Neurospora crassa OR74A: one gene and its partner. The protein of the gene in region 2 purifies or fractionates together with the protein of the main gene of each other region. This does not show direct contact. Links are inferred from orthologs where the notes say so. Each region holds a gene or a part of one and is shown on either strand. Other genes may lie near its edges.

Region 1 (4,214 bases), about 2.6 Mb from region 2:
GGGTAGGGGCAAGTTGGGTTGGAAGGCAGAGGGCCGGGTGTAGTTGACTGAATATAGGTAGTCCTCATGTCTAACGAGCTGTGCCCGGAAAACTGCCAAGCCTTGCTCACACTGACTCCACGAGAGTGAACGTCGTTGAAGTCGAGGCTGGTTTGATTGTTAGTCTGTTGCCTGAAAGGAAATGCCACACCCTCCGAGCTCCAGCCCCATTCTGGCTCAATGCGTGTTGTACAGTAGGTAGTAACGGTATATCGGATCCGGATCGTGGAGGCATTGGACTATGGGACCTTGAGGTCCCTTTGGACTCTGAATGGCCAGGTGGGCGGCGCGCCGCAGCGTCTTTGGGGTCACCATGTACAGCGGGGTAGCTAACACCCATGGTACTACACTACTGTAGTGTATGTATGTAGTACGTTACAAGGGTACCGAGCTCCCTGGCTTCTAGCCCCGCCTTCTTCCAGCCGGGCGCCGAGCAGTCCGGGGAGAGACTCCGGGACGTACTGGGTATCGGCGTGCCGGGGCGGAGCCGTATGGCCGGCGCGCGCCTCGTATAAGCACGGGCGGGGACGTGTCCTACAACCCCTGAGGACCCGGTTCTCGGTCGGGTCGAGGGTCGTCGTTTGCTCTTGTCACTCGCTTGCTCCACCCAAAGTGGCATGCGGGTTCCTGCGACGTCCGGACAAACGGACTCTCTCGAATCTCGATAAGACGACAGTTGCAGCCTGCCAACTTTCCGCGTGTTGTCCTGTTCCATTTCGTTTTCTGTGATACCTACCTAGCAGCATCGTTGGCCTGTGGCCTCTGTACAGGCCATCCGGTGGTGCATGCGACAACCACTGACCGCCTTGTTGTCCGTACTGCGGGGGAGGGGCAAATAGGAAATCCCAGGGCAGCATGTCTCGCTTCCTTGGAGAGACCTGACAGCCTGGCCATCTGGACATCGGTGCTCGAGCGGTGCTGCAGCATCCGAACCTCGATTCACTGTAAATCTCGAACTGAAGAAATGGAACGAACCCCAAGTCAAACAAGATGAAGCTTTGATCTGTCAGCAGCTTTGTAGAACGCATTCGAAGGTTCCGGCCGCACCGTTGCTTTACCAGGTGTGTCGGGCGACCTGAAGATCCTCGGAGCGATGGCAGAAGGCGTGCCTGGAGCCCGGAACAGCCAGGGCATGGAAGCAGACAGAGTGGCAGAATGGAAGTGTACCTATGGGCGAAAAGCACGGACCTTTGTCGCCCCAGAAAAGGCTCCGCTCATACTTCGTCATCCAAATGGTCGCCTGGCGGGGCGGTTTGTCAGTCAGTGACACTGACAGTTGAATCAGATGCCCGCTGTTGCTGTTGCCGCTCCCCAGCTGCTGGCCACCAGCTGCTTGCCCCTGGTTGGCTGGCCTTGGAGGGAGCAAGCGGTCGGTGCCACTCGCCGGCGCAGCGGTGCTTGCTTGCTTGCTTGCTTTGGCTCGAACCGTCCTTTCCATGCCTGGCCGTGACAACCTGAACGTAAACGAAACCAACTCCAACACCAAAACGCAAAGGCACTTCGTCCCTCCGACTGGTCCTTTTTTTTGTTTCCATCCCAACACCATTCACCTTCACCTCGCCGTCCAACCTCCAAAGAATCCCTTTATCAGCGGGTCTTGAGGCTACGAATTCTGGTTTCTTTTTCTCCAAAACCACTTCTTCCCGCTACATCCTCTCCGTGGATTAGCATCACCGTCCGCGATACCCAAATACCACATTTATTCTACTGATTCCAACACAAACGTCAAGATGGCTCCCGAACCTAATCCCGACCACGTCGAGCAGAAGAAGAAGGTCAACTTGATGTACGTGAAGCAGCGACGCTGATCGCGGGAGCTCTCGAAGCTGTCGCGCCCCCTCATCGCGAATGACGCCAAGCTGACTTGAAGCCAAACAGGGACGCTTCTGGTGCCGAGCACAAGGCCGTATGTTCAACCTCGCTTGCCCGCCAAAGACATCTCGAGAACCACTCGTGCTGACCGATGGAACAGGAAGATGATACCGCCACTGCTATTCTCAAGAAGAAGAAGAAGCCCAACCAGTTGATGTAGGTTGACGTTGAAGATGCGGGGCACTGCAACCTGAGCTAACACATATGCAGGGTTACTGACGCCGTCAACGATGATAACTCGATTATCGCCCTCTCCAACAACACCATGGAGCAGCTCCAGCTCTTCCGTGGTGATACCGTTCTCGTCCGCGGAAAGAAGAGAAAGGACACCGTCTTGATTGTTCTTGCCGATGACGATCTTGACGATGGCAGCGCACGCCTCAACCGTGTCGTTCGCCACAACCTCCGTGTCAAGCACGGCGACATCATCACCATTCACCCTTGTCCCGATATCAAATATGTTAGTCTATAACCCGGTCACCTAGTCATAGAATGGGCACCTTGCTGACACAGCATCTCCTTGTAGGCCAAGCGTATTGCCGTCCTCCCGATCGCCGATACCGTTGAGGGCATCACCGGATCTCTCTTCGACGTCTTCCTTGCTCCCTACTTCCGCGAGGCCTACCGCCCTGTCAGGCAAGGCGATCTCTTTATTGTCCGCGGTGGTATGAGGCAAGTCGAGTTCAAGGTCGTCGAGGTGGACCCACCAGAGTACGGTATTGTCGCTCAGGATACCGTCATCCACTGCGAGGGCGAGCCCATCCAGCGTGACGAGGAGGAGAACAACCTCAACGAGGTTGGTTACGATGATATTGGTGGTTGCCGTAAGCAGATGGCTCAGATCCGCGAAATGGTTGAGCTGCCCCTCAGGCATCCTCAGCTTTTCAAGTCCATTGGTATCAAGCCGCCCCGTGGTGTCCTGCTTTATGGCCCTCCTGGTACCGGTAAGACTTTGATGGCTCGCGCTGTTGCCAACGAGACTGGTGCCTTTTTCTTCTTGATCAACGGCCCCGAGATCATGTCCAAGATGGCCGGTGAATCCGAGTCGAATTTGCGCAAGGCTTTCGAGGAGGCTGAGAAGAACTCGCCCGCTATCATCTTCATTGATGAGATCGACTCGATCGCCCCCAAGCGTGAGAAGACCAACGGCGAGGTTGAGCGCCGCGTCGTCTCCCAGCTCCTTACTCTCATGGATGGTATGAAGGCCCGTTCCAACGTTGTTGTTATGGCTGCCACCAACCGTCCCAACTCGATCGATCCCGCTCTCCGTCGTTTCGGCCGTTTCGATCGCGAGGTCGATATCGGCATCCCCGACCCTACCGGTCGTCTTGAGATTCTCCAGATCCACACCAAGAACATGAAGCTTGCCGATGACGTCGATCTCGAGCAGATTGCTGCTGAGACCCACGGTTACGTTGGTTCTGATATTGCTGCCCTCTGCTCCGAGGCTGCCATGCAGCAGATTCGTGAGAAGATGGATCTCATCGATCTGGACGAAGACACTATCGACGCCGAGGTCCTTGACTCTCTTGGTGTTACCCAAGAGAACTTCCGCTTTGCTCTCGGTGTCTCCAACCCCTCGGCTCTTCGCGAGGTTGCCGTTGTCGAGGTTCCCAACGTCCGCTGGGAGGATATCGGTGGTCTCGAGACTGTCAAGCAGGAGCTCAGGGAGAGTGTCCAGTACCCCGTCGACCATCCCGAAAAGTTCCTCAAGTTTGGCCTTTCGCCATCTCGCGGTGTTCTTTTCTACGGTCCTCCTGGTACCGGTAAGACAATGTTGGCCAAGGCTGTTGCCAACGAGTGCGCAGCCAACTTCATTTCCGTCAAGGGTCCCGAACTGCTTTCCATGTGGTTCGGTGAGTCTGAGAGCAACATCCGTGATATCTTCGACAAGGCTCGCGCTGCTGCTCCTTGCGTCGTCTTCCTCGACGAGTTGGATTCTATCGCCAAGGCCCGTGGTGGCTCTGTTGGTGATGCTGGTGGCGCTTCTGACCGTGTTGTTAACCAGCTTCTTACCGGTAAGTTGATTCTTCCTTGGTTTGTGCCATTCTGCTGTGCATACTAACCTGAGCTATAGAAATGGACGGCATGACCTCCAAGAAGAATGTTTTCGTTATTGGTGCTACCAACCGTCCCGAGCAGCTCGACCCAGCGCTCTGCCGTCCCGGCCGTCTCGACTCCCTCATCTACGTTCCCCTTCCTGATGAGGCGGGTCGTCTCGGTATTCTCAAGGCTCAGCTCCGCAAGACCCCTGTCGCTGCCGATGTTGACCTGAACTACATCGCTTCCAAGACCCACGGCTT
Region 2 (2,476 bases):
ATGTGGTCTTGCTTCTTTAAACATTGGTGCTCGCTTTAAACTAACACATTGCTGACAGGGAACATTGAGACTGAGGAGTGCATTCGGACCCTTGTCGGCCATACGGCTGGCATTCGTGCACTACAGTTTGACGATTCGAAGCTCATCAGTGGCAGTCTTGACCGTATGTTGCGCAACCCGCCTTCAATGATAGCGTGGCAATGTTGCTAACTGATTCGTAGACACCATCAAGGTCTGGAACTGGCATACCGGCGAGTGCCTCTCCACGTTCGCTGCCCACACCGACTCAGTGATTAGCGTTCACTTCGATGGCCACCTACTCGCCAGTGGGTCGAGCGACAAGACGGTCAAGATTTTCGACTTCAACTCCAAGGAGACATACTGCCTCAAGGGCCATAGCGATTGGGTCAACTCGACCCATGTTGACATCAAGAGCCGAACCGTGTTCTCCGCCTCGGATGACACGACCATCAAGCTGTGGGATCTGGACACGCGCCAGGTTATCCGGACCTACGAAGGACATGTCGGCCATGTGCAACAGGTCCTCATCCTCCCGCCCGAGTATGAGCCCGACGAGGAGGTGCTCAACGGTGCTTCGCAAGACAACCAAGACGCCATGTCAGTATCATCGGGCGGAAGCGGAAGCCCCTCCATGTCGCATGCACAAATCGAGCGCGCCGGCAGCCCTGGCAGCCATAGCTCCAGCCACAACCTGCTACCGAGCAGCCTGCCTAGTGGTGACGAGGACGTGCGCCATCTCTATGGATCCGCCTTTGTAGCCGACGAGTCACGGCCACTTCCCCCGCGCTATTTCATGACAGGCGGGCTCGACAGCACCATGCGTCTCTGGGACAGCGCGACCGGTCGGTGTTTGAGGACGCTGTTTGGCCACCTCGAGGGCGTTTGGTCTTTGGCGGGAGATACGATCCGTGTGATCAGTGGAGCCAACGACGGCATGGTCAAGACGTGGGAGCCGCGCAGCGGAAAGTGCGATGCGACGTATACGGGCCACTGCGGACCCGTGACTTGTGTCGGGCTGAGCGATAGTCTAATGGCCAGTGGCAGTGAGGATGGAACGATTCGGTTACATTCCTTCAAGCCCTGTCGGCAGTGAGGTGGTGGCTGGGGTTTCCGTCACTTGGGAACGATGAGAGCATGTCGGGTTTCAACTACCCATGTTGACTGCTCTTGCATCTTCCTCCAATTTTGGATATCCCGGATACGCCATCTTCACCTATCAGCGTCCTCGCATTTCTTTCCTCTTTTTTTTTTCTTCTTCTTCTTCTACTACTCCACCCTCTATGCGATCTCAGACGCAACTTTTCTTTTTGTGTTTTTTTTGCTTTCAACAAAACATTGCCTCTCCCCAAGAAGGGAACAAAGGAAGGCAGATTAGTTTTGGGTCAACTTGCAAGCATAGGTTACAGCGTCATGTGTTTTACAAGTTAGGCATCTGAGATGGGATCTCAAAAGCAGCCAGGCACTTATAGTGAGTGATACAGAAAAGGAAAAGGGGGGGCGTCATTTTGCATGGTTTTGGAAGGATATATCCTTGGGGGATGGTTGGTTGGTTGGATGGAGTTTTATGATTTGGCTTTTGTTTACTTTTTTTGTTCTAGTTCTATACCCTCTTGCTTCGTTTGGTGGTGTGATAGTATGATTTGAAATAATGAAAGATAAGATGGTAGTTTGGAATGGGACGAATATATGGAGTCGTTCATGTTGAAGTGCTTCGTTGGTGAACCGAATATATGTACATTCAGTGACGGCGATGCTTCGGATCTGTAATGAGATTGTCTTTTTGTGTATGTAGTTCATGGTCTCACCATCGGTTCTCGAGAATGACTGGATAGGTACCTAGCGAAAAGTTGGAATCATGTTCCGTTTCCACATGGTATCAACTTGCGCGAAAATCAATGTCTGTCCCACGTGTAACTAACTCTTCATCGTAAGGTTCATTTGGCGTACGTACAGGTATCATGATGTTAAATTTGCATGTCTGGTATTTGTTCCCCGCTTTCCTTCACCAAAATCCGTCCCGTTCACGATTAGATCCCAATCGAGTGTAGAGGTACGTAAGTAGTGAGTGAGTAACAATGATGAACGAAGCAAATGGAAGGAAAGATGGGACGCGCAACCCGTTTCTCCTTCGTACTAGTACTGTACCGACACTCCTCCCTTTTCCTTCATTACTACCGACGTCCGGAAGTGGTAGAGGTACCTTTTCGCGCAACTTGACATTTCGCATGGCTCCTTCCTCCTTCGTGAATATGAGCGGATGGATTCATTTCACTTGCCCGGACATTACGCAACGCAACGCAACGCACAGCAGAGGCAGGAACGAACGTCGAACGGGGCCCGGACGATTGTAGTGGAAGGTGTTTGTTATCAATGGATCTCGATTTTTAATGAGAGGAGGAGGAAACAGTGAGGGAATGAATGGCTGAAGATGGGAAGGCGCATTCATTTAAGTTGA

Evidence for each region.
Region 1: the proteins of scon-2 (region 2) and NCU00018 purify together in Saccharomyces cerevisiae (affinity purification with western blotting, with the first as the bait; 3 studies listed by BioGRID). This does not show direct contact. The link is inferred for Neurospora crassa OR74A from reciprocal best matches to the Saccharomyces cerevisiae genes MET30 and CDC48.

The regions. Positions count from the first base shown.
Region 1 is NC_026503.1:2,304,766-2,308,979, forward strand, and holds the start of NCU00018 (cell division control protein Cdc48), read left to right. Parts: upstream 1-1,339; 5' UTR 1,340-1,769; coding exon 1,770-1,825; intron 1,826-1,917; coding exon 1,918-1,945; intron 1,946-2,011; coding exon 2,012-2,067; intron 2,068-2,121; coding exon 2,122-2,371; intron 2,372-2,437; coding exon 2,438-3,929; intron 3,930-3,988; coding exon 3,989-4,214. UniProt on the Saccharomyces cerevisiae protein: ATP-dependent chaperone which probably uses the energy provided by ATP hydrolysis to generate mechanical force to unfold substrate proteins, disassemble protein complexes, and disaggregate protein aggregates.
Region 2 is NC_026503.1:4,900,981-4,903,456, forward strand, and holds the end of scon-2 (sulfur controller-2 protein), read left to right. Parts: intron 1-58; coding exon 59-163; intron 164-221; coding exon 222-1,114; 3' UTR 1,115-1,899; downstream 1,900-2,476. UniProt on the Saccharomyces cerevisiae protein: Substrate-recognition component of the SCF(Met30) complex, an E3 ubiquitin ligase complex that mediates the ubiquitination and subsequent proteasomal degradation of target proteins. Negatively regulates sulfur amino acids biosynthesis genes expression.